Linked DNA regions of Arabidopsis thaliana. The protein of the gene in region 1 interacts with the protein of each later gene in a pairwise test. Each region holds a gene or a part of one and is shown on either strand. Other genes may lie near its edges. The genes, in order: RBL15, AT3G10260, VAP27-1 and BTI3.

Region 1 (9,013 bases):
TACTATCATACTTTTGATTGTGTAATAGCAATCTTACCAGTAGAAAAAGGGTTGTTTACTGTCACAGTGGAGCCAAGCATGATAATAGAATTGCAGATTGTGGCCATATCGATGTCGAGGATCAATCTGTTAAGCTAGAAAATTAAGATCACATGGCTTTACACAAAACTTATAGCCACAGAGAAAGACAAATTGTAAAAGAATATTCTTACTGCCTCAAGCCAGTGCTGCAAAGCCAACTTCCTAGCTTTCTCGTCCTTTGATAAGCCTTTACCAACCTTAGGGATAAAAATGGTCAAATCATTATATAAAGACTGGAGCAATGGGAACGAAAACGGGTGCATCAAACCAACATAGTTGATAGGCTTGATGTTACCTTAGCAGCTCTTGTTCTTGCTCTAGACCAGCGTGAAACTGCAGTCTCTTGCTTCTCAATTTCAAAAAACGATATAGAACTTCTTTTAAGTTCAGCAAAGTCAAGTACCTTCCACCTGCAAATTCCATTTAGTTACTACTAAACAGATAATTTTATCCTCTCTATATATACCAATGCCAATAATCATAACACCACGAACCATCTTTGCTCAACGACTACAGCACAATCAGCTAGCCTTCTTCTGGTTCGAAAACTTCTATAAACTTTCTGTAACTTTAATGCAGCTTGATATGTTCCATCACCTAATAACAAGGCTAAAAATTCTTTTGCATGTTCGTTTTCGCAAACAGGTTTCCATATCCGCATTTTATATCTATCATCTTCTTTCATAAAAGTTAAAGGTTTAATAGAGAAATTGTTCTCCACATCTCCTGGAGAAATTCTTGATCGTTGTGTCCCTTTACCGCTAAGGGATCTGTTGTATAGCGTCTTTCTAGCTTCAGGTGATTCAGTTATGGTTGAATCCGAGTCAATGTCATTAAAACTGATTGATCGAAGAATGGTCTTTGTCTCTGCACAATCAATACAAATATGCCTCAGATCAAAATGCCTTCAAATAAACGTTCATAGAAGTTGTCACAAATACTAACCCATTTTCACTTGAAACCAGATTCAAGCAGTTCCTTATTATGTCCTGAAAATGTCAAATATCCAAATTCCATCATTGAGACATTACATCGAATCACCAAAAACATAGAAAGGGTGAAGAAGAAGAAGCAGAACCTGGAAGTCAAACAAAACCCATGAGACGAAATGAAACAGAGAAGAGATTCTTTTAATGGAAGAAAACAACAGAGCCAAAAAGGAAATGAGGAGGCTTTGAATGGGTCTAGGATTAGATGGGAACGTGAGAGAGAACGATAATGGCGGCCATTTCTGATTTAAGAGATTCTCATGAAATCTCAATCTCTCAATGATGCAAATCTGTTCCATTGGCTGGGAGAAAAATAGAGTCCTCTGTTCCACGATCGCTCTGTTATTTTTGTTGGCTCCTCCTCAGTTTATCCTAATTTTGGCGTCAATGTTTCGCTTTTAAAACTAGGTCCCTATAAAAATTCAAACTTCCTATGTTAACCCAGAAAATAAAACATTATCAATTTGACCCAAACAAAAATCATAAGAAAATCTTCAATTTTTAATAATTTCCCTAAAGTACCATTAAAAAAAATCACAGAAGCTAATTATGGGATTTCTACTGTTTTCTAATTCATAACAATATATACTGTAAATAGTTTACCAATCAAAGACACTAAAAACAATTCATGTCTTCAATAGAAAACATTCAAAAGTTGGGGACTTTTTATGAAAATTCTGTATAAACGCAAGCAGAACCAAAGCCCTAGCCCTCTCTAATTCGCTGTGTCCGTTAAGTCCTCTCTTTTCCGAAGGATCTGACTTTATCCCGGAATTCTGACGCCGAAGCTTAAATGGAAAAAGAAGATGAGCTCCAGAAGTTAAACGGTCAAGTTTCAGCTCCACGAGACGGAGATGTAGAAGATGACGATCCACTAGTGTTGAGTTCTCAAGCTTTGGCGGCGCTTCGGGAATTTCTAGCAGACCAGAACAAGACTGTTGCGAGCACGCCACCGGCGTCTTCCGTCGCCGGAGGAGAAGAATCCGATAAAGTGGAGCTGGTTACGGAGGATTGGAGACTCAGCCAGTTCTGGTACGAACCTGAAACTGCAGAGACTGTAGCAGATGAAGTGGTCACTCTCTCTCAAAGAATTCCAGGCTGCAGAGTCGCTTGCATTGCTTGCCCTACTCTCTACGTTTATCTCAAGGTACTATTAATCAGTTTTGTTCAGTACCCTTAATTTGTATCGAATCCGTTTTGCTAAAAATCGATACTTTTGTTGTCGTTGATGCTAAATTTCTGTGCGACGGGTTTTGATTTGTGCTGAGTCAGAAAAGAGATCCTAGTCTTCAGGTGCAATTGCTGGAGTACGATATGAGATTCGAGAGATATGGAAAAGAGTTCACTTTCTATGATTACAACGAACCAGAAGATCTGCCGCTTCAGCTGAAACATTGCTTCCATATAATCGTTGCAGATCCTCCCTACTTGGTAAAGTTTCTTCAAGTTCTTAACTTTTCCGATGCTGTTCTTTCATGGGAATTTTGGAAATCTTTTAGCTGCCCCTTGATAGATAGGTTTAGAGACTGATGTGTAATCTGCTCTGAACTTCTGACATTCAAGAAGCTTCTGCTAGATAGGCATTGCTTATAAATTAATCTTCTTTTAAAAGATTATAGAAAGTCCAAAAGCAGACAAGATGAAAGAAAAAAAGTGTAAGCTTTACAATGGAGTATCAGTTGGTTATGGTCATGGCTTAGTGTCACTTCTTAAAGATGGATACTTTGTGGCTCTCTGCTGCGTTTTGATTATCATTTGAAATATTTCCCGGGTAGGAGTATTTGTGACTTGTGAGGATATCATTAATCTGTGATGTTTTTGTGTGCTATATTGCTTGCTATCTTCAAAGCATAAATGTCTTTGAGTACCTTCTAGTTAGCGTGTTAATGATCTTGATTCGTTTATGCTTGGCAGAGTAGGGAATGCCTGGAAAGAGTTAGTCAAACAATTTTGTTCCTCGCAAGCCCAGTAGATTCATTGTTGCTTCTTCTCACAGGTACAATGGGTACTTTTGTTTTCTCAAGTCAAATTTATATGATCTTATGATTTATTAACTAGGAGATATCTCACGTCTTGCAGGAGAGGTGCAAAGAGAACATGCAGCTGAGCTATTGGGTGTTCGCCCTTGTGTGTTTAAGCCTCATCACTCTAGCAAACTCGGAAACGAGTTCCGACTGTTTATAAGTTATGATCCAGGTACCAGATTAGGAGGCTTGGAAGAAGACAGCTAGTTGTGACTTGCTTGTAAGTTGCTTCTCTAAAGTCTTTTGACTGTTCTTGAGTAAACCAGTGATTGTTCTTTTACCCTTCTGATCACAAAAAGCAATGTGCTTAAATCCATCTCACGCGTTCACGTCATCCCCTTTTGCTGTTCATGTAGTTGCTGTTAATTTCTTATGACGATGCGCCTTAACCAATCTCAGGTGTCTGGCATTTCAAGCCCTTATCCTCTAGCAGCGGAGGAACATTTGTGGCAGGGAACACTCATCGGCTCATGTGTGTTGGATATTTTTCATCAATGTTCTCTTGGTGACCTCACTTTGTTCAATCGTTCTCTGTATCTTGTTGCAACCGCAGATCTCAAGTCTGATATACTTTTACATTATTATCAAAATCTCAACATATTTACCAAAATGATTTATTGCATCATGAATCAACATGACATACGGAATTAGCTCATCACAAAAAATTATTCAATCCGTTGCAACTTTATAATTTGCGAGGAAGAGATGAAATATTGATGTTTGCTCTCAGCGAATAAAAAGTTTTTGGTCCGACCCGGTTCTACAAACTTTACCAGAATCAAAGTGCTAAACCGGGCGAAGAAGTTAAGATCTCGAGAAGAGTCTTTTACGGTGGGAGAGAAACGAGAGTTGTTCGTCTTCTTCCATGGTCATTGAAATTCAAACACACGCAAGCATCAGAGAAGAGGACTGATTCGCGACTTCGATTATGAGGCCGAACATTGTTACCGAGGTGAGATCTGTTCAATTTTCTGCTCTGATTGCTTATATTCCTTGATCTTAGTCAGAAATTGTTGAGGTTTTAGCTTGTTTAATTACCGAGAAACTCCTAGTGAGAACGAGCTATGGCTGATAGCAGAAATCAGTACGACCGTCTCTTAATTCGGTAGAGTTAACTAATTAGCAGTTCAATTCGGCATAACTTCAGTTTCATGGCCAATCGTTCGTTGTAGAAAGTAGAAACATTCTCTTCATAAAATAGGTTATAGCAGCCTCTGTTTGTGTTGTTTCATTAGTTCTTCAAGTTTTAGGTATAATAATACAATTTCACCATTCTATTATACAACTGTGACTCTGGATCATACTTTTGTTTGAAGATTTCTGAAATTATTCATAAGGTTGAATATTATTAGAAGGTTTCTATGTCCAACCAAGTAGATAATCGGCACAATGTTTAGATATAAGCCTATAAACTGGTAAAGGTCTTGTTTCTGGTTAGTTATGTATTCTTTATTTTCTCATAGGCTGGGGTTCAAACTCGAGTTGGACAGTGGTGGAATGCCATACCTTTCCTCACGTCATCGGTGGTGGTAGTTTGTGGGGTCATTTACCTGATATGCCTCTTAACTGGATATGACACTTTTTATGAAGTATGCTTCTTACCCTCGGCAATCATATCGAGGTTCCAAGGTATGTTCTCATATTTATTGAGGCTTGCATGTCATGTAGAAGATATTCCTATTGGCACTAAAACTTACATTTCCAAAGTTATTTCGTCTTGCAAACTGGTAATTTTAAATTCAGATGCCTGAGCTGTCCTGATTTTTTTTGTTTCCTCTTGTTCACTCGTTTCTCGTTATCTGTGCAGTTTATAGGTTTTATACAGCCATTATTTTCCATGGATCACTGCTTCATGTTCTGTTCAACATGATGGCATTGGTTCCTATGGGCTCTGAGCTGGAGAGAATCATGGGATCTGTCCGTTTGCTTTACCTAACAGTTTTGCTGGCAACGACCAATGCCGTATTGCATCTTCTTATAGCATCCTTGGCGGGATATAATCCCTTCTACCAATATGATCATCTCATGAATGAATGCGCCATTGGATTTTCTGGAATCTTGTTTTCTATGATTGTCATAGAGACAAGTCTCAGTGGAGTTACCTCTAGAAGGTAAGAATTTTCAAGGGCTACTTAAATGATTTAGACTCTGGAAGATCAAAGTGCAAGTAAATATGAGCTTCTTGTTAGAATTCAGATACATTCTCTCCAAACATGTTAATGCTACACATGTCTGTACACATATTAATAAGATATGCGTTTAATGTCCTCTGAATGTGGGCTATTTTTTGCCAACTCTTTGTATTCATGAAGCATCTCATATTTCTTCATTTGCTACTTTATTTCTCTGTGCAGTGTGTTTGGTCTCTTCAACGTTCCCGCTAAACTGTAAGCTCCATTGTCTTGCTTGTTGGCATCTTAATGCCCACCTGCATTTCTTGTTGCTCATATGATGTAAAAGTTTGTATCCATGTGTAGGTATCCGTGGATCTTACTAATAGTATTCCAGCTTCTCATGACAAATGTTTCACTGCTTGGGCATCTATGCGGCATCCTGTCTGGATTTTCATGTATGATTATTGACCTTTTTCATTGTCATCTTCTTTCTAAACCTGCATTTTCATGGGGAGCTAATTTGTTAGTCGCTTTGGATTTCAGATTCTTATGGCCTCTTCAATTTCTTGATGCCTGGCTCTTCATTTTTTACCACCATTGAGTCAGCCTCCTGGATGGTAAGTACTAAGTACTTAAGAAGATCTGGCTTCTTGATGTTTCCTTTTCTTTGTTAATTGAGAGGCCATCGAGGATTTAAAACTCATGCAGATCTGGCTTCTTGATGTTGCTCTCTGAGTTAATCGTAACTCATCCAGTTTCTATGTCCTCTTCCAGTCTAGCTTCATTAGGCGACCCAAGTTCATTATGTGTACTGGCGGGAATCCTTCCAGCTATATTCCCACTTATTCTGCACAAAACACAACATCCAGGTGTGGTTTCCTAAGAACATATGAAAAACTGGACTGTTTGCCCAGAGAATATCCTAACGACATTTTTTCTTTGACCAGTGGTTTCTCTACAGGAAATGCTTGGAGATCCTTGTCTTCATGGTTGCCACAGAGGGAAGCATCTAATCAGGTACGTTCATGCTAATCTTGTTAGTTTCTTTTCTTTACCATGGTGGATGCATTCACATCTAACCATATTACTTCACATGCAGTCTTCTGAGGACAGTAGATTTCCGGGGAGAGGTAGAACTCTTAGCACTGCCCGAGATCCTACTGCTCCAGCTGGAGAAACAGACCCAAACCTCCATGCTAGACTGCTGGAAGATAGCAGCTCTCCAGACCGCCTTTCTGATGCAACTGTCAACACCGTGGCAGATTCAAGGTATTTGATTTCTTCAGCTTATGATTTATCAGCTTATTACGCCATTCTTCAACCTCACCCTCATGTCTCACCGTGTGTAGACAAGCGCCAATAGCTAATGCAGCAGTCCTGCCCCAATCCCAGGTTACTTTTCTTCTCTAAGATATTCGGCTCAGACCCAGACCCTTGTACAGCTTCTAGAAGCTTTTCTCTTATTGAGCTGTTAAAACACAGGGTCGTGTTGCTGCTTCCGAAGAACAAATCCAGAAACTCGTAGCCATGGGCTTTGACAGGGTACGTTTCTTGCTTCATACCAACGTTAACTAAAACAATAGTAAATAGATGGCTTAAAGTCTCTGGATTTTCTTCAGACACAAGTGGAAGTGGCGCTTGCTGCTGCCGACGATGATCTCACCGTAGCAGTGGAGATCCTAATGAGCCAACAGGTATAAACTTTTCCGAACTAGAGTTCTATTAACTCATTTTTAGAGTTTAGGCACTACTAACAACGAAACCACTGTGATCAAACTTGCAGGCTTAACACCAACAACTCGCAAAGTACTGTTTTGGCTTGTATTGTAACGTTTGTTTCTCATTCTGTCTTTTACTTGCATTTAGAAACTGTATAGCGTCTGTTTTCTTTAAGGAGGTTCTTTAACCAGACGATCAAACCGATTTTCCGGTTTAGAATCTAATACAAACGAAAGATCAGTTGAAATTTTCTTTTTTTGCAAAATCTCTCTACGTAGAACTTTACTTTGCAAAAGTAAACTTGTTTATTGGCGGCACACTTTTTTTTCTTCTCTACGGAGTACAAACGGAATGAAACAGAAGCTATTATAACATGGTTTCCTTCCTCACTTGCTCTTGTGTTCCTTCGTGTTACTAGTTGAGGTTTCTCTAGGCGGTCGCACAATGAGAATTGGACATTTTGCATGTTGGGCACAGTAGTCACTTACACTCCCTAAAAATGCCCTGTATATCTCAAACACCAGGAATGAATGAATAGTCACAACCAGAAATCTCAATTTGTTGTTAGACCTTAGACCAAAAATGAAACTTGTACCTTTTGATCATGCCGAGTCCACGGCTACCAACAACAAGAAGATCAACATGTGTTTGCTCGACGGCTTGGCATATCATCTCCTTAGGATCTCCTTCCAATATCATAGTCTCTGTCTTCACCTACAACATAAAACCATAAACTCAAGAGACAGAGAAGATCACTGATAAACCTAAACTCTTATGAAACCTTGATAAACCTAAACTGAAAGTAAACTTCATAGACCCTAAACTTATTGTATTTTTGAAATTTTTTCCAAACTTGTAGTATGTTGAAAGTTGAAACTAGACATGTCTTGATGGTAATTTTTAGGAAATTATTTCACACATATAGCGCACCATTTTGCCTCGGCATATCTCCAATGCCCGTGTGAATAAGTTTGTCGTACTCTCTTCTCGTGCTTTCCTCATTGGTTCGGGCACTGAATCTGTCGCATACACCGCCGAAGCTAAGAATTTCCAAACTCACTCAATATTGTATACAGTCACATCCCATATAATATATATATACGCATAGAGAATAAAAGAAAGAGAGAAGCGTTTTTTTCTTCACCAGTTCCACCAGAAGGATAGATATATTGAAGGTACGTTGGGTGAACATGAAGCAACGTAAGTAAACCGCCTTCTTGACCGGTTTCCGGTTCGGCACTAATAACAACTCTGAGATGATCCACAGCCCATTCCAACGCATCGAAGCTGTTCTTGCTCTCATCAATCGCAACCATCACTTTCAACTTCTTCTTGTTCTTATTTGCAGCCGTCTCCGCCGTCGTTGTTGTGGCTGCCGTGTCCTCTCCAATCGCATCAACGTAAGTCTCCATTTTTTACTCCGTACGTTTTCTCTATCGTATGTTTTTTTTGTTCGGCTCCAGCCACTTTTTGATATGTATAATAATTTAGATCGTACCATACGTTACGTAATGCTAGTGTGTGATTGAGTAGGTGGAAGATGAAGAGTGTTAACAGATGTTTAAGATGGATACTGGATTGACACGTCACCTGTGTCATAGACACGTGTCTTTCTTTCAACATAGACAACTGTTTATTTTGAATATCCAGAAAAGGCTTTTGGTTTAGAATCGAGTTTGGTTCAATTTTACGGTTTCGTTCTGCTCAGAAAAAGATAAACCCAAAACGAACCGATTTAAATTCGGTTTGAATTAGCTTAAATCAAGTTTTGAGAAGGCAGAGTTGTCAGCCTCTAGAATCTCTATGTCTTTCAATGATCTTGTTTGCTGAGTGTTCTAAGTCATATTTGGTGTTCTGATATCTTATTTTCCACAATGGTTTCAAAAGAACAGGTCCTCTTGTGGTAAGTATATATTGACTAGATGGTCGGTCTATCAAAGTTTCGGATAACAACAAGTTTGGTTCAATTACCGTAACAAACTTATTTTGGAAATAACCTAGTTCGGTTTAGTTTGAATCAATTTTTATTTTGGATCAGGTATGGTTTGGTTTATCTCGGGTCTGTGAAATATGGAAAGCTTATTAT
Region 2 (6,949 bases), about 18 Mb from region 1:
GTGTGAAGGCTTCATTAACAAGAACTCTAAATTCCCTTGCAAAAAAGTTAAAGGTTATCAAGGTGGGATACAACTTACCAACTGCGTTTTTTCCACTTTATATTTCCACTCTTAGAGGCTTAGAGCCTTTTTCCCCTTCTCTTTTCCTCCTTTTTCATGGAAACTGCAAATGCCTAATTGCGGTTAGTTGGTCATTATTGTGGTTGAAAGAGTCTTCTGAGATAATGTAGGTCAAGGGTTATATTATCTATTCCTCTCCATGGATTGAGACTAAATTTAAATACTCATCTGCACTTAAAAGACATGCTTTACGGACAATTAATAATGTACTACCATGATTGAACTGTGAAACATGCCAGTTATAGAGGTTGTTTTTTGCTTACATTTAAGCATTTATCTTGACCTGTTCTGAAAAGGTTGCTAACTCATAGTGTAACTTATTGTTGTTGGTTATGTTTTCAGGAAAAGGATATTAGCTTAAGTGGGGAACATGTTAGGGAAGGATTGACCTGCATTGTCTCAGTCAAGGTTCCGAACCCTGAGTTTGAAGGTCAAACAAAGGTACTAGGGAGCATAATGATATGTTGACCCTCATTTTTGTCAACAATCTCTGGTCAGCAGGCCATAAGTTTTCTTGGATTCTGTTGATCATTTTAATTTTTTTGTGTCCCAAAGACAAGACTAGGAAATCCAGAGGTGAGAAAAATTGTTGACCAATCAGTCCAGGAGTACCTCACGGAGTACTTGGAATTGCATCCGGATGTACTTGAAAGCATTATTTCCAAATCCTTGAATGCGTACAAGGTGCGACATTGAAATACCTGCTCATACTGTCACATCTTCACCTACACACACATGCACTCAAACACTCAAACATGTGTTTTATCCCTTGAGAAGCATTTTCTGATATCTGTGATTAGCGTATTCTTTGATTGAGTATGTGTCTCCTACAGTATGTCTAGTTACTAACTTCAACCAAATGACCATGGATTTTCCTTGCTGACTCTTTCTTTTTAGGCTGCTCTGGCTGCCAAGAGGGCTAGGGAGTTGGTAAGATCAAAAAGCGTTTTGAAGTCATCCTCACTTCCTGGGAAACTTGCAGATTGCTCATCTACAGATCCTGCAGAATCTGGTATGCATTAACCAATATGAAAGTGCCTTGTAAGCTGTGAAAGTTAGTCAGTTTATTGACATCTATCTCCTATGCTACCAGAGATTTTCATTGTCGAAGGAGATTCGGCTGGTGGCAGCGCGAAACAGGGTCGTGACAGGCGTTTCCAGGTAAAAAAAATCATTCTGCTCAGCGTGTCACTAACAGGCTCTGCTTCTATTTTGTTAGTCTGTAACACTGTATTTCGATCTATGCAGGCAATTCTTCCTTTGAGAGGCAAAATTTTGAATATTGAGAGAAAGGATGAAGCAGCAATGTATAAGAACGAAGAAATTCAAAATCTTATTCTTGGCCTTGGTCTTGGAGTTAAGGTAATATATCCTTTTTCATATCCTGCTGTTTGTTGGTATGTTCGGAAAACTCAGTTTGACATAAAACTTATTTCAGGGAGAAGATTTTAACAAGGAGAATCTGCGTTACCATAAAATTATCATCTTAACAGATGCAGATGTTGATGGTGCACATATCCGGACACTTCTGTTGACCTTTTTCTTCAGATATCAGGTACTAGTTTAGTTTGATAAAACATTAGTTGAAGTAGCCTTGATTGCTGATTGAGTTATGTGAAATTTAATGAAATTTACTTTCTACAGAGAGCCTTGTTTGACGCGGGTTGCATATACGTTGGTGTTCCACCTCTTTTCAAGGTAAGCTCTTAGTATCTATAATCTTATGCTTCAGATTGAACGGAATTTTTTTCTAAAGCTAGTCTCTCTGTGAAAACGATCAGGTTGAGAGGGGGAAACAGGCGCACTACTGCTACGATGATGCAGCTCTTAAAAAAATCACTGCTTCGTTCCCTGGAAACGCATCCTACAACATTCAGAGGTTCAAAGGTAAAACATCCTACTTCTCACATCATGAATGTGTTCTTTTGGAAAGGATAAATAACTATGAAAAGTAATGTATAGTAGTTGTTATGTGTTAGCTATTAAGATACTCTTGAGTGTGTGCATAACGAAATCTAGATTAGTCTCAACTATTGGATTCTATGTAATGTTTCTTGCTTTTGCATCTGCAGGTTTGGGTGAGATGATGCCTGCGCAGCTATGGGAAACAACGATGAATCCAGATACAAGGATATTGAAGCAACTAGTTGTTGACGACGCAGCAGAAACGAATATGGTCTTCTCATCTCTGATGGGTGCTCGGGTAAGCCAATGAATTGCCAGACTCGGACTCATGATAATAGTCAATAAACTGGCATAACTCATCGTGACAATGTTATGTTCTGTGTATGTTTCAGGTCGATGTCAGGAAGGAACTCATCAAAAGTGCTGCGACTAGGATGAATCTGGAGAATCTCGACATATAACACAGCTTATAGTTATTGCTTCAGCTATATACAAACAACAAAGAAACGACTCTGGTGAAATGCAAAGGGAGACATCATCATTTCAAGGTTAAATCATATAGTCACAGGCCAACAGGATTTTGTTCTTCTTCTGGCCTATAAAGGACAAAATTCATTGTTAGGATTATCTCTTTCAATGTCAAAATTTAGCAATTCACAAGGCTCTTTGTTGGGCGTTTCTTTCCATTGGAACTAGAATTTTTCTAGAGACAAGAGAAATTTGCATTCACTAGGTATTTACTATATATTATGACTTCAACAATTTGGCATTCCTGAAAATCATGCATGCGACGAAGTTAAAACTAATGATTAGAAGGAAGATGAGAAGGTAACTATTGTGCAATGAATATCTTCTCTGCCTGTTGTATTGATTTTAATTGTATTCGAGGTTAAGTTTTGACTGATGTTTTACTAGCGATCGCAGAGTGATCGATAATTAACAAGTTTATTTTTCGATTTGGTAGGTATATAGTGAATTAAACATGATTTTTGTTCTTCCTGAACAACCTAAAGCAGTGTTATGAACGCATCACGCATGTAACAACCAGTCAACCATATTAGTGTGACTTTAATTCATTGAATAAATGAAATTTTTTTATTTTCAACAAGGCTTGTAACGGTTGATAAATCTACTCAGAAAACTTCTTTTTGTTTGTCTTGCAAATACAAACGATACGTTTCAACTCTTTTTTTGGCGTCCAATAATACTTCTTAAAAAATAATTTGTTTATTGTCATGAGCTACACGTGGGAAGACAAGTCCTATCCATTATTACTACACACTACTCCAACATTTGCCCACATTTTGAAAAAAACATTTTTTTGTAATTCAATTATTCGACACAACCAATCCCATCTCTTGTTTCACTTCCGCCCTCCATCTTTCTTCGTGATTGAGAGAATCTTCAACGAAAGAAAGCAACTTTTTTTGGGTGAAATTCACAGAACAACCAAGGTTTTTCTTCTTCTTCTTCTTCTCCAGTTCCTACAGGTTTACTCTTACTCATCTTCATCTTTGTCTCGTTCTTGCTCTTCAATTTCTGGTCTTTTTGTTGTTCTTGTCTTCTCGCCAAATATACTAAGATCTAAGTTTTATATCATTGTAATTATCACCAACGAACTGTTAAGACCAAATTTGATTACTCGAAATGGTTTTGGGTTTAGGGTATGAAGAACTGATCAAAAGATTCAATTTTTTATGAAGTCAACTTTCATCTGCAAATTGAGCAATCTCAGATTTCGATTGTGTTTCAGAATCATGCCTGACAAGAACATCGTAGAGGACGTTATCGGTGATTTGGTGGATAACTTCACGGAGACTGTTCAGAAGAACAAACATGGTTCCTCCTTCTTCGAACAAGAAGATTCCGTCAGTTCTCGTTTCAACCGTTTGTTTGATCGCCAGAAGCCAATTCATCATGTCTTAGGCGGTGGCAAATGTAAGAATTCGTATACAGGAACATAAATATGAGATTGGTTTTTCTTGTAATTGAGTATTGAGAGATTCCTTCAGCTGCTGATGTGTTGTTATGGAGGAACAAGAAGATCTCTGCAAGTGTTTTGATGGGAGCTACCGCAATTTGGGTGCTTTTTGAATGGATCAATTTCCATTTCCTGTCTCTCGTTTGCTATGCCCTCTTGCTTGGTATGATTGCACAATTCGTTTGGTCTAACGCCTCTGGATTCTTAAACCGGTAACTTGTTGGAGTGTTGTTGTCATTATTATTGGTACCTTGTGATTGCAATCTAACACAATGTCCTTTAATGTCTCAAAGCAGCTCACAGTCTAGAGTGCCTCGCCTAGTTCTTCCAAAGGATTTCTTTGCTGAAGTCGGTGTGGCCGTTGGAAAAGAAGTTAACCGCGGTTTGTTGTTTCTTCAGGACTTGGCTTGTAAAGGGAATTTGAAACAGTTCCTCATGGTGCGTTGTTTGTTTCAATAACCACAATCTTGTTTGTATAATGTATTAGCACTTTCATTACTATGCTAAGATAGAAACTTTGATCACAATATCATTTTTCAGGCTGTAATCGGACTATGGGTAGCTGCAATGGTCGGGAGCTGTTGCAATTTCCTAACTGTTTTGTATATCGGTGAGTGGTTCTTATTAGTGTATCCTCTTTTGAGATTGGAAGTTGAGTAATACAAGACTTTAAAGGGATGCATTTTATGTGTGTGTGTGAAGGGTTTGTTGGGGCACACACAATGCCGGTTCTGTATGAGAGATACGAAGACGAAGTGGATGGTTTTATGGATTCTATGATCATGAAGTTTCATAGTCATTACAAGAAGCTTGATACTGGGTTTCTCAGTAGAATCCCAAGTGGAAAGTTTGGATTAAAGAAGCGTGAGTGACTAAATCACTCAAGCATTTTCTTATTTTACCTTGTTTGTTGTTAGAACAATATGGATTATGGTTTGCTAAATGAATGTTTTGAGAATATTATTCATTCATGTAGATTTTGTGTATTTCCTTACTAAACAATACCTTGTCCATGTATTTGTCAATACCTTGGTTAATAAGAGAATCATCATATCTGTCAAAATTATACAAGTAGATTGAGAGTTCATTAACTCAATGTCTAAAAATGTAAGACTTAAAACAAGTTTGAATCAAAATTATTTCACAAATCAAAAGTATGGTTTTCTTATTTCGTAAGAATCGTTGACTAATATTGACCGGCTGGCTAATAAGAAGATCAGATAACTCTACAGGTATGGGATCCACCATTGTCAAACATTTTACACGTGTCAGCTTCCTGAGCTTCGAAGCCTGAATGTTAAAATTAAAAAATTTAAAAGAAAGAAATATAAAAAGAAGTAAATCAAAGAAAATGGAGTAAAGAAATTGATCCACGATCGATCAACAAAGTGAGGTTAGGTTCCATCTCCACCTCTTTCTCTCTCGAATCTTCTCCGATTAAAGGTGCTCTTTTGCTTATGAAATTTGTGTTTCTTAAGCTAATCGAATTTGTTTTCTTGATCGTTTTGATGTTCTTTTTTTTTTTTGTTATTGTTGTTGATTTGATGTGATCCGGTTGTATTTGAAGACGAAATCGATTCGAAGTGTTGAGGTTTAGTTTGGGGTAAAATAGATGATTCTCAATCTGTTCTTATTTGTGAATTATTTTGTATTTCTGATTCTCTGTTTTTTTCTGTTTTTTTTTGTTTTTTTTTGGATTTGAAACCTAGAGAAAGAACCTTGTTTCATTAGTGGGAGATAAAAACCTCTAATGATTTGATATAAATTTTTGAACTTGTACAGATTCGAATCGATTTCCCTTGTACCCTCTCTTAATACTGGTTCTTGCCTGACAGGAACAAGGTCTGGTTTACAAAAGTCTCATAGATGTCGAGTGGAACAGTGAGAAGGGTTTCACGTCAAGATATACAACTGGTAATAACAACAAAAATAGATCATGATGAAGGAAGGCCTTTGGTTTCATTGTCTGAATCTGCGACAATTTGAATTCGTCCTCTTCCAACTCAATAAAACTTACTTTTGGTTTCAGGTTCAAAACCTTATAGAACGATGCCTTCAACTTTACATGAATCAGAAAGAAGTTGTGGATACTTTACTAGAGCAGGCTAAAATCGAGCCTGGGTTCACAGAACTAGGTAGCCACTCAAATACTCTGTTTTCTTTTCATAGAAATTAGCATCTGATTCTGTAATCCTTGTTCATTGATGAATCTGGATTCATTACTGTGAATGAAAAGGTATTAATATATCTATTACCAGTTCAGGACATCTGTAGCCAAAATCATGTGTGAATGATTTTGTTGTTGCTTAAAACTGAAATCTTATGTATTGTTTGGTTCAAGTGTCACCAAGAAGGTCTTATTGGTCAGAACCTAGTTAGGAAGTGCTCAATAGATCATGAAATATGAGAGAATATGTATAGTAGTGAGTATCGATGATAAAAAATGGGGATTTATGATAACACGCTTTCTTTTTATGTTTAAAAGTTTGGCAGAAGCTTGAAGAAGAGAATCGGGAGTTTTTCAAAGCTTACTATCTTAGGCTAATGGTTAAACACCAGATAATGGAATTCAACAAGTTGCTTGAGCAGCAGGTTCACCACATGCGTCAGATGCATCCAACTGGTGTTGCTTCTGTCCAAAACACAAATGGTTCTCATCTTCAATCAAGTAAGATTCGTTTGGAGTGAGATGGATTTTAATTTCTGCATTTTAGGGTCTCTTTATTGCTTGTATACTTTTGCTATGAATTGTTGTTCAAGTGTTGTAGTAAACAGTCCTCATATGCATTGTCTTGTTTTCTGGCTTCCACTTTTGCTGCCTTAGTTCTTTTCAAGGTTTCTTTTTCCTGTGAACATTATGTGTTTGTTGTTTTCCTTAGATTAGTCATTCATTCAAGTCGCTAACTGATGAGTATTAAATAGCTAATCTATGTGATTTTCTTA
Region 3 (8,054 bases), 780 kb from region 1:
ATTATATTATTTAAAACTGATAACAGAGAAAGAAGAAAACAAAGGAGACAAATCACATTGGGTGTGGTTTAAAACAGAGAAGCACAACGAAAAGATGTTTGGTTGGGGCGTGATTAAAGTGTCTCTCTGACTCAATGCACCAGTTTCAGCTTCAAGTCTTCTTCATTTAATTTTATTTTTCTAGTTAAATGTTTTCGACTTCTCCTTTTTTTGTTTGATTTTCCTAACTTCAGTTTGTTTGATTTAATGAAAAAAGAAACCTCTAATAATGACTCACTAAAGACAACCACCGTTATCTCTCAACAAGTCAACATAGAAAAAGTTTCAATACAAGATTCTATTTGGAAAACCAACTCGTTTGTTAGAAATTTACATTAGTTATCGAGAACAAATGTATATATATATATATATATATATTAATTTGAAAAAGAAAAAAAAAAAAAACAGTGACTCCCACGTAATACGCTAAAGCTTAAATGGTCAACTGATTCATAAAGTAACTTTCAAGAACATTAACCGCTTTGAATTACGACTTACATTGTGACTCAAATAACTGAATCAATTGATTAATGGATAACGTGTACATGCTTTAATACTTGGACCAGTTAAAATTCTAGTAGATACGATCAGTGACATGAAATGATAAAAGTTTTCAAAATGAAAAAAAAACGACAACAAAATAACAGAAGTGGCAAGAAAAAGGTCTGTAATATACTAATATAGGTAAAAAGATAGAGATACCAAACGGTATTAATTTTTTCTGATAAACAAAATATGTGGTACATTATGGATACGATAAAAAAAAAAGTCATCATCAATCAAAAAAAAAAAAAAAGTTTAATGAACAGTCAACTAAATCGGACAGCTCTCTAATATATACTTTTACCTGTCTTATTGTTCCCATACCCCAAACTAGACTAATTAGAACTTGTTTTAATAGTAAAATTCAAGTTTTTGTCTTGCAGTTTTCTTTCGAGTCTCAAGTTCAAAAGGACTAAAACGGAGGAAAAGATGCATGCTTCTCAAAATTCCGTCTCTGTCCTGTTTTCTTGAAGTCACGTCTCAACTCTCAAAGTCTCCTTTCCCAAACCCTAAATTCTTAGTGTACCAAGCGCAAAATCGTTTCAAAATACCCTTTTTGTAATAAAAAAAAAATGTATGCATAAATGAAAAATAAAATAATACAAAATCATGAATTAAATCATAGTAAGAGATTCCAAATTAAAAGAAAACAAAAACTCATAAGTAACTTTTTACATGATCCATTCTGATTGTAAATCTCGATTATGAATTAGTGCAATACAAAAGTTGGTAGCCAAACAAATGGTTTCAATAAGTCTGGTTTTTGGATAGTGTCGTGACTTGGTAAAGTAACATTTCACTAGATTTGCTTGTCCGAAGCCAATGAGAATGACTCACTTTTACATTTCTGTTCACACCATCATTATTATCAAAATCTCGTTATCATTGTTACTACCATTCCATACGTACCTTTAATCCATACGACCAAAATAATGCATAAACTCCCTGCAGGGACAAAGAGACGTCGGAAAGTACGAGATTAGACCACTCCAACTGCCAAAAGAACTACGCGGGCTAAGACGTTTCATTTGGCAGTGACAAAAACAACGTCAACGGTGAACAGTGCCACCATGGCCATCGTCTTAGCTTTTTGAAGACACGTAAATCCTCCTTATCAAAAATTATAACAAAATATAAACATAAGCTACCGATCTATAGTGGGCTTTTTAAAAAGGATGGGCCGACTATTCAAGTTATCAACACGTCGTCGTATAATCATAGTAGCTCTTTGTATTTTTGTTCCGGACATGATTATCTTAGTATCCAAACACGTCACATTCAAGTTTATTCTAAAGATTTTTCTCTCCGGAGACGTTAAGAGAAGAAACAGCCAACGGATTAGGGATCTTACCGTTCTGCGATTCGCCGGTGAGTGTTTTTATTTTATTTTTCCGATTTCATATCGGCTTCTTACTCTTTAATTCGATTTCCTTATATGTTATCGTGATTACCTTCCCGAGAATTCATGGTAAAATTGATCGGTATATATTTTGATAATCGACTTCAATTTGGTTTATCCCTCCTTATGCTTAATTGCTTCACTTACCGGTTTTGATTCTGACTTGTATTGATTTGATATCGATTATCCGGTTTAGTAGCTTCAAGTGTTTCCCCTGTGTCCATGTATCGTCTTGGTCCTGATGATTTTGAAATGTTCTGTTTTGTTTGTTTATGTTAAGAACAGAGTTTGAAGCTTTTTTTAGAGACTTCAATGGTGAGCCAAGGAATGGTATCTCTTACAAAGTCTCTATGCACTATGACTCCAAGAGTCCGTCTCAAGAATCCGAATATGTTGCAGAAACTAAAGACTGGATCTTGTAATTTCCGTTTCAGAAATCTCCGTGTCTTATGCACACCAAAGCTGTCTCAGTGGGAACCGTCACCTTTCATTCATGCTTCTGCAGAAGAAGCTGCTGATATAGTATTGGACAAAACCGCGAATGTGTTCGAATCTATTGTCTCCGAGAGTGCAGAGGAAGAGAAAGTAGATATGTCAGCGCAACAACGAACTAATTCTCAAGTTCAGGTACTTAAATGGCCAATATGGCTTTTGGGTCCATCTGTTCTCCTCACAAGCGGTATGGCGCCTACTTTATGGCTTCCGTTGTCATCGGTTTTTCTCGGTTCCAACGTGGTTAGTCTACTTTCTTTGATCGGTCTAGATTGCATTTTCAATCTTGGAGCAACCCTTTTCCTCTTAATGGCTGATTCTTGCGCACGTCCTAAAGACCCATCACAGTCCTGCAACAGCAAACCACCATTTAGCTATAAGTTCTGGAACATGTTTTCACTCATAATCGGGTTTCTAGTCCCAATGTTACTTCTCTTCGGATCCCAATCTGGCCTTCTCGCTTCTCTCCAGCCCCAGATTCCTTTCCTCTCGTCCGCTGTTATCCTCTTCCCGTACTTCATTCTCCTTGCTGTTCAGACATTAACAGAGATCCTCACATGGCACTGGCAATCACCGGTCTGGCTAGTCACACCAGTTGTCTACGAGGCTTACCGAATCTTGCAACTGATGAGAGGGTTGACACTTAGTGCAGAGGTCAACGCACCGGTTTGGGTGGTTCATATGCTTCGTGGGCTTGTCTCTTGGTGGGTATTGATCTTGGGAATGCAACTCATGAGAGTTGCTTGGTTTGCTGGTTTTGCATCTAGAACAACAACAGGTCAGCAACCACAATCTGTTGCTTCTAAGTAAAGACAGATAAATGTTTCTTCGTTTAGTTTTTAAAGTCATGTCAAAGATTTGTAACTCTTTCTTCACTGTATAGCTTTTATTATTCGTGGGTTGGTGATAAGGATTAAAAAAAAACACATATTCTTTATGATCATATTCGCTCTTTTAGTTAGGTATGTGATGTTATTCATTTCAATATTAAAGGCTGATAGGTTGACGTTAAGGTTGAGAATATGCAAAGGTTGACACAGATTCCTGTCAAAGAAAGACATTTAAGAATTTACGAAAAATGATGAAAATGTTTCTCTTAAGAAAGTAGAGCATAATGTCGAATAAGACTAGTTTATATGGTTTTGTATTTTTACTAAGTCATGTCAGAAAGAAGAAGAAAAATATATGTACTGTGTTATAGCCTTATAAGTAATAGGTTTTTGCATTTGGTGAGTACTTGGTAACAGTAAAAAAAAGAAAGTTATACGTTACGTTGTGAAATATGATCAGATTATAATGTATATTCTTTACTTTAGTTGAATTGTTGTTGTTGTAATTCATCTCCACGCGTTTGCGATTAGGGCGCGTTTGCGTTTTTATCAATTTTAAATGAATTGACAGTATTACCCTTGAGAAATGAACAAGACAAATAGCGATGTCCCACTCTATTCATTAGCTCTGTCTAATCTCTCTCGATCGACGACTGCTCTCTCTCTGAACCGGAGACGGTGTCACGGGACGAATCTAATCGCCGGGAAACCGTTTTTTTTTTCTCTCGGAAAATCGATTTGAATCTCCGGCGATCTGATCGGGATGAGTAACATCGATCTGATTGGGATGAGTAACCGCGATCTGATCGGGATGAGTAACAGCGAGCTTCTCACCGTCGAGCCTCTCGATCTTCAATTCCCTTGTAAGCTTTATTCATAACTCTTTCAATATTTCGCATGTCTTATTGCCCCAGATCTATGTGTTAAGCTTCTTCTCTGATTTGATGTAGTTGAATTGAAGAAGCAGATCTCTTGCTCTCTCTATTTGACGAACAAGACCGACAATAATGTTGCCTTTAAGGTTATAATTCTCTTATTTAGCCTTATCAATTTTGGAATCGAGAAAAATTGTTTCGTGTTTCTGAGGCTTCTCGTGATGATTTAGGTTAAGACGACGAATCCGAAAAAGTATTGTGTTAGGCCTAATACTGGAGTTGTTCTCCCGAGGTCTACTTGCGAAGTTCTTGGTCTGTTCTCGATTTGTGTTTTTTTTTGTTAATTTCGATTTGCTAAATTGGTTATTGGATTAGGGAATTTGATGAATTCTTAATGTCTGGTTTGATATAGTGACCATGCAAGCTCAAAAGGAAGCTCCTTCCGATATGCAGTGCAAGGACAAGTTTCTGCTTCAAGGTGTGATAGCTAGTCCTGGTGTCACAGCCAAGGAAGTTACTCCTGAGATGGTATATTATTATATGGATGGTTACAGTTTTCATATGGATGGTTACAGTTTGGTGTTGGTTTTACTTAAAAGCAGTATTTTTCTTGTTTCTTGTAATGAAATTTTGCAGTTTAGCAAAGAGGCTGGACATCGAGTTGAGGAAACTAAACTGAGAGTTACTTATGTTGCTCCACCACGACCACCATCACCGGTTCACGAAGGATCTGAAGAGGGTTCTTCACCCAGGGCTTCTGTCTCAGATAATGGACATGGTTCTGAATTTTCGGTTAGTACATGTTAACTTAAGTTTAGATTTCAGTTTCTCTGGTAGACATATTTATATGTAGATTTTCATGTTTAATTTTAGTTTGAGAGATTTATCGTGGACAACAAGGCTGGACATCAAGAAAACACATCTGAGGTATTTTTCACAATTCTTCCAAGTTTGTCACCGTCAAAACCATGTGACATCATCTTTTGCTTTTGCTCTGTTTAAAACTGATTTTTGGAGGTAGCTTTACTGGAAAGTTGCCTTTTAGGCTGATTTACTAGGTTGAGAATCTTTCTTTATGTTGATTACTTAAAAGGTTCACTACATTTTTAGAAGCCTGTCCAGTGCTCAAGCCGTCCATTAATTGTCTTTTTGTGCACCAAATCCTCGTAGATGTTATTTTGACACAGTTACCACTTACTATACACTATTTTGCTTCAGTCATTCTACATTATTTCTATTACCGCTGAATTTTGTATGATTTCAGGCGAGGGCACTCATTACCAAGCTAACCGAAGAAAAACAGTCTGCCATTCAACTGAACAACAGACTTCAAAGAGAACTGGTAAAACAACTCTCACTTGGATCCTTTATTATCTCTGAATCTCCTCCATGCTCTTGTTACTTTGATGATTAGCAATCTGTAGCGTTTGTAGTGTTTTTCCATGGTTTTGAGAAGGTATGCTTAAAGTCATCATTTGTTTTTGTGAAGAGATGCTTTAACTTATCTTTTGCATTGGCTTCTGTTTCCATGGTTGACTTATCTCACCATACCATTAATCAAAACCAGTCTTGTATGAATATTCCACAAGCTTAGTTTAGAATCTTGAGATTGTTTATCTGACAAAGATTTTGGTTTGATGTGGCAGGATCAGTTAAGGCGTGAAAGCAAAAAGAGCCAAAGTGGTGGTATCCCATTCATGTACGTTCTTTTGGTCGGACTCATCGGTCTAATTTTGGGATACATTATGAAGAGGACATAAACCACCCACCTTGAAATTAATCCCTCACCCGCCACGAAGGAAAAAAAAAAGACTTTTAACTCTTTTCAGTCGGACATTTTTTTCTCTTCTGTATTTGTCAATTTCGCCTTAAAAAGGTGTCCTAGAAGATTTGTGTTTCGTAACTCAGTTTGCTATGTTTTTTTCAACTTTTGTAATCCAAATGACTTTGCGTTGGTTCTTTCTCCACTAATTCTCTTATATTTCTTAACTTCATTTTCCATCTCAAACCTTCCTCCGTGTCTGCATTAGTCAGTGTATGTATATGTTTGTTCCAAATGCTTTTCTCTTCCTTTACCACATAATTTCTTACATCAATATTGAACAGAGATGAACTACAACGGCAATGTTTCATGCTTATGTTTTTTACTGATGAGGAAAGAAAGAGCTAAATCATGTGCAACTTTTAGTATCTTCTTCTAGTTTCCATCTAAGAACCATGGACTTGGACAACGAATAGACCAACAAGACTCGGTTCTCCATTACCCTGTTGCATCTTCTTGGTTTACTATTCATTTGTCCTAGTCTGGTCCATACACCCGACGTGCTACACAAATAAAACTTGAAGCAAAGAAAGATACTAAATGGGAGAAACTACAAGAGAAAAGAGCGAGAAATAGAAACTACCTGGATCAGATAGCAGCGCTAAGAAGAAGAAATTTTGGAGAATTGATCAAAGATTATAGATAAAACAAATTTACGTTTTTATATGTGTTGAGAGTATAACGATGAGACTATTTCTCTCTGTTTCTTGTTTCTCTGGTTTGTTTATGATGATGATCGATGATACTAAAACGATGAGAGTACATCTATATTTTTATTTTCGTTTCAAAAAGTGATTCAAAGACTGATCAAACAAACAATGTCTTTTGTCTCTTTAGTGACCGAAGAAACCTTAAAACAGACATGAGATAGAGAAAGCAGTTTCTTTCCACCTTTGTATCATTTTTACACTTTTATTGCTCGGCTTTTCAACACTTGTAAGCTTGTATCTCTGTCTTGCATATTTTAGATCTTCTTCAGCTTCGAGAAGGTTCCTGACTCTGAGAAGTGCTTTGAGCCCCACTTCCTAATCCTAAAGCTTGCTGAGGATTGCACAACTCTATTCCCTGCATAGAAGTGAAAGCCAAGCTTGATGTCAAACCAGAGGTAGTTGCACCACCCGCATACTGCCTTTCTTTAAGCTTTTTGGCGACCTTGGCATTAATTTTAAGCTTGCTCTGAACACTGGATACTCGCAGCCTCTTGCTTCCTGCCTGTCCAAGCATTCCATAACCTTCTCCTAGTCCATCACCGAGGGAGCTCTCTTCAGGTGTACCAAAGGCCGTCCTGTTGGCCAGCTTCCTCATATCTGTTACTTGATACCTTGCTTTCAGTTTTCTTAGACGGCGACCACCCCTTCTTTTCTTCGGCTCAGAATGAGGAATAGGAAGTGGCTTAGGCTGCCTTGCAGGAGGAGGTTCTTGCCACTTGTCAATCTTCTTACGGATCTCCTCCCTGAAAGCTTTTCCACTTATCCCTAACGGATCCTCTCTAGTAGCATCAACTCTAGCTGCCAAAGTTGATTTTGCAGCCACGAGCCTGCCAGCGCGAGCCTCAAGTCCAGGAGGCGTGCTTTGGAAAATCTCTGTCTGCTCCAGATAACCCACACGGGACTGAGACGTTGCAGAAGAAAACCCAACAAGGTTCTTCCTCTTGTGGCCAAGAACTTGAACATTACAGGCAGGCATTTTAGCAAGTGCTGACAAACCTCCAGCTGTCCCCATGAGTTTGGCTGCAACAGCACTCCCAACAATGGCGGAAAGATTAGGAGCAATAGAACCCATCTTACTTTCAACAAACTCAAGGACCTTCTTTCTTGCGGAATCAAGATCTAAATCCCGATCACAAGCCTCTAACACCTTTTGCTAAACATCCTCTGGCAGTGCACTCCCTTTCGTAGTTGAAGCAGTAACTGAAATAGCCATGATAATAGCTGGAGTAAGATCAAGGCCAGCAAAATCAACAAGAGTCAAATCCGTCTCATTGCCAATCTTCTTGACAACACATGCATAGTCAATAGGGTGATGAACCAACGACTCAAGCTCTTGAAACCTAA
Region 4 (7,218 bases), on another chromosome or scaffold:
CTATTCCCAAAGAATGTAACGGGTTACACGAAATTCTTGCCAATACAATTGTCCACATGCAGAATATTTATGAACTTTTGACGTGACCTATTGTGGACGGTGTCACGGTAGTGTAGTTGGTCCTACTCAATCTTAATAATATATATACTATAGTATTCGTAATATCTTCGTTCATACATATCTTCAATCGGCTAAAAACAAAACGTCTTCTACAAAATCGGCTAACATGTCTATCAGCGAAATTAATACTCAACATTCATTGTTCATTATTATCAACATATCGCCGACCTTAAGTACTATTTACAAACTATCACAATTCTAATGGTTGTAAGCAAATCGATCCGATACTTCGCTAGAGTGATCCGTAAGGACGACGAAAACTTCTTTCAATTTTTAAAGTATTTCTATATCATTTTGGTAAATTCCACCAAAAATTCACAACTCTTATAAATCATTTTGTTGTTGCTCCATTTATTGTTTTGTATCAATCAAGTATTTGGATGTTTTATAACTACAACCTAGAACTAATATCTACACAACTAATTTACAACTACAACGCTAACAAAACAGATTCATAAGTACAACTGTGAGACAGATTTAGTAGAGGTTTGATTCTTAATAATCTAAAATAAATGTGATATTGTAATTTTGAAGGATGATGTGTACAATGAATATAATGATCCATATTCTAAAACATATTCAAATAAGTTTATTCTAAATACTTTGTACATATATTTACCTTGGTACGATGCATGAGGAGGAGGGAGTTTCCATCTTTATCCATGAGGATGAGTTCCTCGGGTCGGGTTCGGGCATAATTATCGACCCGGTAAATCAAATCTCCATTCGAATCTATCACCGTGAATCCTTCACAACTCACCAGAAGCGATTTTCTCCACACCGTGAGTGTCGTACACGCTCCTCCAATATCTGCGGCAGCGACGGAGACTGTGGACTCTGTAGATGACGGTGCATCTTCACCGTGGACCGACCTCGACCGTTGCTTCAAGAAAGGGAACATTTTTGTAGTTTTGGTGTTCTTGGTTAACTATTTTAAGAGAGTTTTACAGATCTAATTAATCTCAATTCTCAATACAAATATGGTAAGGTTAGGTATACATATGAGATATATATATATAGATCTAATATATATGTGTGTGGATGAAAGATATTAGCTTTGTTATATTATATCATTGTCTTATTATATTATAATTTTTTTCTTCTTTATATCAACTTGCAAAGTTTTTAAATATCGCTACTTGATATTTAAATGCGACCACAAATAATACTTAGTGACAAAACTGTACTATTCTACAAAATATAAAAATAAGAATTTCACCTAAAAAGCTTTAAACGTTTTATTAATTATGAGTCAAAATTTTTAGTGTTATTTGAAAAATAATACAATATGATAAGATATTATACCATTCTATAAGTTAATTAGAATTTTTTTTAAGTTAATGAATACAGGTCATTAGATTTTTTTTTATCACATTACAAATACAAATTTAACGTACGTAACATTTACATTTAGTGGACTAGAACTCAAATCACCCTATTACAGCTTGCATATATAGTAAATTGTTTTTGTTTTATAAGTCCAAAAGGATTAGTCTAAATTACATTGTTTGGTTATCAAAGAAATTAAAATAAAAAATTAGATAAAATTAATCGAAAATGAAAACTTAACATGAAGGTTGAAATCTCCAAATTATTTACTCATCCTTTTTACCAAACTCAAATATGATATTTTTTTCTATACGTAAAACTCAAAATTGTATATACAAGAAATTTAGCTATCTAAAAATAACTATATAATAAGCCATTATAGTAAGCCACAATTTTGACCATCTACGATCTTTTCTTTTGTACGTAGTAAGGTTTGGTGCAAACTTTTGCAAGTAATTAGTATATAGCTCTTATGGATATGGTATATTCCTGATATGAACTCTGATTGGGTAATGATTAGCACTTAGCAAGGTAGTCAGATTTTTGGCTTTGGCACGCATGGGTTTCACTGTTTCAGGATTGAATTGGAATTTTTTTTTGATTAATTAATGTATAATATTTTATACAATATAAAAATATATTACTGTATTAGGTAAGAACTTTACGACAAAAAAAAAAAAATAGGTAAGAACTTTAAGATTATGCAAGGGTCTTAAAACGAGCCACGTAATCTTCTTAGACCCACGATAGTAGATTTTTGAGGTCTCCAAGAATCTCTTATCCTTTTTGTCATCGAATCTCTCTCTCTTTCTGAAGATATATTAAGAAACAAATCTCTCTTTTTCTTCGAAAAGGTTGGTTAGGTGAAGGACAATTCTCATCCACACGATTAGATGCATAAAATTATATATATAAGAAGAAAATCTAATTATATGAAATGGTGGAATTTCATGTCACACTAGACGACGAATCTTCCATATTAAACTCACTTCTAACACTGCATGTGTATGTAATTATGTATATGAATGAATATCCAAATAGAATAATATATTTGGACTAATCAAATTATTGGAAAAGTACATAAATAAATAAGTGAGCTTTCATTGTCAAACCTGATTTTGTTGATCTCTGGGTTTGCCATTACTCCAAAAAATCTTACCTTCAAGAGTGATGTCGACACAGTGGAGCACACGTGTTGTAACACGTGTCATGACTCAGCTCAAAATTGGATCCCACGGAAGAAGTTAGATCTCGAGGCCAAGAGACCAGAGTCATCAATTCAAACCCCACGTGCGTGAGAGTCACTGACTATTCTCCTCTTATCTTCCGGGTCTTCGAAATCCAATATCTCCAAAACGCAGCGTCTTGGTTAATTTTTGAGATGTCAATATATATAATCTGTGACCTTGTAATGTTTAATCAACAGGTGTATGATCATCTTTCATCTAGGAGCATTTTCATTCTATCAACATATTCTCATAACAATTTTACTATGCCTAACAATTTTTTATTTTTACTATGAAATGGATCAGTAATAAATGGGCCTTAATACTGTACCAACAATCCCATAAATGGGCCCAATGCTGGATCCTATCCGCCGACATCTAACGTTCCACTAACGGAGACGTTATCGGGAATATTCACATTAATTAACGACCGTTAGTTCCACGCCAAATATGTTACATCTGCTACAAAATAAATAGTTTGATTTTCCACCGTGGACGGTTACCTACTCGAGGCCCAGACCCGAATCAAACGGACTGGATTAAATGTTTTAAATCAAGGGGTGGGATTAAATCTGAAGCACACGCTTTTATTCGTCACAGTCTCCTCCCACACTCTTCAATCAGTAAAGAGTTTTAGGTTTTTTTTTCTTCTTCTCGGAGGTTTGTAGAATCAACAAAAATGGTGGAAGACCACAAGCACGAGGAATCGATCTTGGAGAAGATTGTTGAGAAGATCCATGGCCACGGTGACTCGTCTTCTCTGTCCGATTCCGACGACGATAAGAAATCTACATCGTCTTCGTCGTCGTCCTTCAAGTCAAAGATTTACCGACTTTTCGGAAGGGAGAAACCTGTTCACAAGGTTCTCGGTGGTGGAAAACGTATGGATCTATCTCTATTTCTTCACTTTGAACTCTGATTTTACTCGATTTTGTATCTTACATAGTGATTTTGCTCGATCTAGTGAATGTTGCTCTAATTTGAAGCTAAAATTGAGTGTATTTGAGTGCTTAATTGTCTGCTTTGCTCGAAAGTACGCTTAAATCTTGTGAAATACTCAGAAACTATGTTGAATCTGGATTCATTGTTTGCATGTAGCTGCTGATATATTCCTTTGGAGGAACAAGAAGGTATCTGGTGGAGTCTTGGGTGCTGTAACTGCGTCTTGGGTCTTATTCGAGTTATTCGAATACCATCTCCTCGCTTTTCTCTGTCACTTTGCGATTTTTGCTCTTGCAGCATTGTTCTTGTGGTCTAATGCTTGTACATTCATCCACAAGTATGTTCTTACAACATCCCTTATATGTTAAGTGTTAAGTATGAGATAACTGCCTGATCAACTGAGTTCTTATCCTCAGGTCAACTCCTCACATCCCGGAAGTTCACATCCCTGAAGATCCTATTCTTCAACTTGTTTCTGGATTAAGGATTGAAATCAATCGTGGTTTGACCCTTCTTAGGAACATTGCATCAGGAAAAGATGTCAAGAAATTTATCCTGGTATTGTTCATGTTATCTACCTCGATGCAAAGCGGTTTTCTTATGTTCCTCATAAATGCTAATACTTGCTTGCACATGTTTTAGGTAATTGCTGGCTTGTGGGTTTTGTCCATTATTGGCAGCTGCTACAACTTCTTGACATTGTTCTACACTGGTAACGATTCATTTACATCTTACTGCATTTAATCTGATAGGAATCATACTTGCATATCTTGATAACCAGCTTTTCTTTCTTGCTTCCAGCTACTGTCCTTCTCTTCACCATTCCTGTACTCTACGAGAAGTATGAGGACAAAGTAGATGCCTATGGGGAGAAGGCGATGAGGGAGATCAAAAAGCAATATGCAGTACTTGATGAGAAGGTATTGCGTAAGGTCATAAGCAAGATTCCAAGAGGAGCTCTGAACAAGAAGAAGGATTAAGGAATGTGAGTTACTCTCTCATTGGAATCGTAGTAATGGTTCAAGACATGTTTTGTTAGAAGCTGTTGGTTGATAAACCCTTTGATCTCTTGTTATTATTATGTTCATTATAAATTTGGGGGTTTTAACTAAAAATATTTAGATTATGAGAGAACACGGATGGATGATAATTATTGTTGTTAGTTATTTGTCTTAGTTAATTTCTCATCCTTTTAACAGCTCTCCATGATGGTATTCGTCATGTCAATTTTGCATCATGTCTGAGGATTGGTCCATACACATAAACTCAAATTGTTTCGTGGGTTTTTCGCTCTTCACTGCTACTGCGATCTAACTTTAGTTCATAAGAATCTTTCTTGTTTTTATTTGACTAATAATATTCTTCCCATTCCATCTCTTTCATCATCTCAACATCTTGTTCATAGGAAAAGCTAAAATGATTGGTATATGAACTAGGTTAAACGCAATTTGATAATTTTCCAAAAAAATTTGTTCATAATTCTTTTGCCAAAATTGCGATTTCACGATTTCTCGACAAAAATAATCACACAAAAAGTGGATTCCACAATACCAAACGCTTTCGGTATGATAACCATCAAATCTGGATAATTACTTAAAGTAAGCAACATACGTAAGGTAGACAACTAGGTGTTAATCACTATATATAGTTTGTAGTAGAAAACAATATCAAAAGTCAGGATGGCCGAGTGGTCTAAGGCGCCAGACTCAAGTTCTGGTCCTCGTAAGAGGGCGTGGGTTCAAACCCCACTTCTGACATTTCTGTTTTTAGTTTTATGTTCAATGACTGGATTTTTAAATTTATTATTTTTCCGATTAAAGTAGATAACTTTTTTTACAACAACCATTATTTTTTTTTTTGTCATCATTTAACCATTTACTTTCAAAAGCAAAAAAACTTAAAGATGAACAGTGACGACAAAAAAGAAAGAAAAGATGAAACAGTGAAAGCCAAGTACAGTCATTTTGATTAAACCGTATTCATTAACCAACTTTTCACTAACTATGGTAAACCAACCCCTGACCCGAACCGAACCGTTCTTGTTTTTAACCAATGATTCATTCAATCAGAGTCTTTATCCGTAGAAGTCAATACCTCCGTCTCAGCCGCACCCAAATCCGGAGCTATTCCGGTGCCGTTGTACTGCTGAATCACCAAAACCGATGCTTTTGTCGAAGATTCCGGCGAAATCAACAAGCTTCCTACAGGTCCAAGCTCCGGACATTCACTATTCTCCCTAATCGCCAATGCAATTTCTCCACCTGGCATTCTACCAACCAAAAACAAATTGCTCCGCCGCACTTCCTCAATCGCCGATCTAACATCCACGGCGGCGTTTTCAATCTGTTTCTCCACGAACTTAACCGATTCGTCCACCGAAGATATCTTCCTTATCTCAGACATAATCTCCTCATCCGATTTCAGATTCTTCACACTCTGATTCTCGTTGTTATTGTTACTCACTTCAACATTAACAATCTCTCCGACTCTCTCCGGCGATACCACAAATCGGAAAACAGTCAAAACAATTCCGGGATGCTCCGCCATACGTAATCCATAAGCCAACGCTTCACGATCATCAGGACCACCGAAGAACAGAACAACAACAGAGTAAGAAACATCTTGAGCTGAGACTTGACTTGAACCTCCGAGTCCACGGTCAACGAATATACCAACCGAACAAGGAGCTTGAAGCAAAACTCTCCGGTTAACCCAACGGTAATCGCCACGTGTAGTCTCTAACGAACCATCAAGCTGTTGATGCTTGTGAAACGGAAGAATCACAATGGCTGCTTTTTTTCTTACAGCTGTTGTGCAGATATCTTCATGAATATCAGACATTGAAGAGATTGCTGTCATTGGTCGGACATTGACTCTGCTTAGCTGTTGAAAAGCTTGGAAAGCAACTACTACTTGATCAGCGTCTGCGTTTACTCCTCTTCTGTTCCAAAACGGCATTCCGTTTTTCCGAACTTTATGAACCATTAGAATAGCTGATGATCTCTCTGATAGTTCCCGTAAGTGGAGAGCGTAAACGCAGAGCCCTTCGCCTTTTTCGATACCTCTTGATGCTTCTAGGAGGTTTATCATTGAAGGAATGCTTCCTGCTCCGTGGAAACATGTGAGGATTCGAAGCTGTGTGTTTGTGTTCTCTCGTTCTACTGCCCTGTGTTTGTATTCTCCTTCTTTCTTCGCTCTTCTCGCTGGTTTGTAGACTGCCATTACGACTGGTGTGGTGATGAAGGTTGTGAAGAGAGCCATTAGAACCATTATGGCAAATGTCTGATCATTAAGAACCTGAGGACACAACAAAAGAAAGATTTAAGTTATAAACTTTCATGACGCAAATTGTTAAGGATTTGAAAAAGTTATACCTTTCGATCTTTTCCGATGTTGAGGACGATGAGTTCGACCAATCCTTTAGTGTTCATGAGGAATCCTAATGTTATTGCTTCTCGCATAGGTATCTTGAAGGCGAGGGAAACACCGAGAGTGCCCAATATCTTACCGAAACAAGCTGTGGCGGTGACTAAAACCAGAAGACCCCAAGACTGAGCTCCTTGGATCGTTGCCACATTAGTTTTCAGACCACTTGCCACAA

The links.
Region 2: the proteins of RBL15 (region 1) and AT3G10260 interact in a two-hybrid assay, tested with the Arabidopsis thaliana proteins (one large-scale study listed by BioGRID).
Region 3: the proteins of RBL15 (region 1) and VAP27-1 interact in a two-hybrid assay, tested with the Arabidopsis thaliana proteins (one large-scale study listed by BioGRID).
Region 4: the proteins of RBL15 (region 1) and BTI3 interact in a two-hybrid assay, tested with the Arabidopsis thaliana proteins (one large-scale study listed by BioGRID).

The regions. Positions count from the first base shown.
Region 1 is NC_003074.8:21,621,358-21,630,370, reverse strand, and holds RBL15 (RHOMBOID-like protein 15), read left to right. Parts: upstream 1-3,669; 5' UTR 3,670-3,728; coding exon 3,729-3,770; exon of another isoform or gene 3,771-3,898; coding exon 3,899-3,949; exon of another isoform or gene 3,950-4,022; coding exon of another isoform or gene 4,023-4,046; intron 4,047-4,557; coding exon 4,558-4,723; intron 4,724-4,901; coding exon 4,902-5,205; intron 5,206-5,448; coding exon 5,449-5,481; intron 5,482-5,571; coding exon 5,572-5,663; intron 5,664-5,751; coding exon 5,752-5,825; intron 5,826-5,982; coding exon 5,983-6,077; intron 6,078-6,155; coding exon 6,156-6,225; intron 6,226-6,307; coding exon 6,308-6,477; intron 6,478-6,557; coding exon 6,558-6,600; intron 6,601-6,690; coding exon 6,691-6,750; intron 6,751-6,827; coding exon 6,828-6,902; intron 6,903-6,991; coding exon 6,992-6,997; 3' UTR 6,998-7,169; downstream 7,170-9,013. Other genes in the region: AT3G58480 (calmodulin-binding family protein), read right to left, coding at 38-126, 213-278, 377-491, 576-948, 1,027-1,030; AT3G58470 (nucleic acid binding / methyltransferase), read left to right, coding at 1,864-2,217, 2,343-2,501, 2,985-3,066, 3,150-3,301; AT3G58450 (Adenine nucleotide alpha hydrolases-like superfamily protein), read right to left, coding at 7,314-7,431, 7,523-7,641, 7,858-7,967, 8,072-8,339. UniProt on the Arabidopsis thaliana protein: Probable rhomboid-type serine protease that catalyzes intramembrane proteolysis. May function in senescence.
Region 2 is NC_003074.8:3,169,342-3,176,290, reverse strand, and holds AT3G10260 (Reticulon family protein), read left to right. Parts: upstream 1-3,298; 5' UTR 3,299-3,722; coding exon 3,723-3,963; intron 3,964-4,037; coding exon 4,038-4,218; intron 4,219-4,302; coding exon 4,303-4,444; intron 4,445-4,546; coding exon 4,547-4,616; intron 4,617-4,708; coding exon 4,709-4,878; 3' UTR 4,879-5,069; downstream 5,070-6,949. Other genes in the region: GYRB1 (DNA gyrase subunit B), read left to right, coding at 1-62, 463-561, 676-804, 1,018-1,132, 1,214-1,281, 1,369-1,482, 1,559-1,675, 1,765-1,818 and 3 more; AT3G10250 (histidine-tRNA ligase), read left to right, coding at 5,873-5,920, 6,036-6,141, 6,492-6,674.
Region 3 is NC_003074.8:22,396,471-22,404,524, forward strand, and holds VAP27-1 (vesicle associated protein), read left to right. Parts: upstream 1-3,639; 5' UTR 3,640-4,066; coding exon 4,067-4,166; intron 4,167-4,253; coding exon 4,254-4,324; intron 4,325-4,408; coding exon 4,409-4,490; intron 4,491-4,590; coding exon 4,591-4,706; intron 4,707-4,814; coding exon 4,815-4,970; intron 4,971-5,031; coding exon of another isoform or gene 5,032-5,051; coding exon 5,052-5,105; coding exon of another isoform or gene 5,106-5,199; exon of another isoform or gene 5,200-5,442; coding exon 5,443-5,520; intron 5,521-5,824; coding exon 5,825-5,938; 3' UTR 5,939-6,254; downstream 6,255-8,054. Other genes in the region: AT3G60590 (cytochrome P450 family protein), read left to right, coding at 1,758-1,950, 2,262-3,283. UniProt on the Arabidopsis thaliana protein: Part of a membrane-cytoskeletal adapter complex that forms a bridge between the endoplasmic reticulum and the plasma membrane. Associates with microtubules.
Region 4 is NC_003076.8:16,632,876-16,640,093, forward strand, and holds BTI3 (VIRB2-interacting protein 3), read left to right. Parts: upstream 1-3,153; 5' UTR 3,154-3,354; coding exon 3,355-3,556; intron 3,557-3,773; coding exon 3,774-3,954; intron 3,955-4,033; coding exon 4,034-4,175; intron 4,176-4,259; coding exon 4,260-4,329; intron 4,330-4,418; coding exon 4,419-4,597; 3' UTR 4,598-5,033; downstream 5,034-7,218. Other genes in the region: AT5G41590 (LURP-one-like protein (DUF567)), read right to left, coding at 740-1,021; CHX18 (cation/H+ exchanger 18), read right to left, coding at 5,679-6,914, 6,992-7,218. UniProt on the Arabidopsis thaliana protein: Plays a role in the Agrobacterium-mediated plant transformation via its interaction with VirB2, the major component of the T-pilus.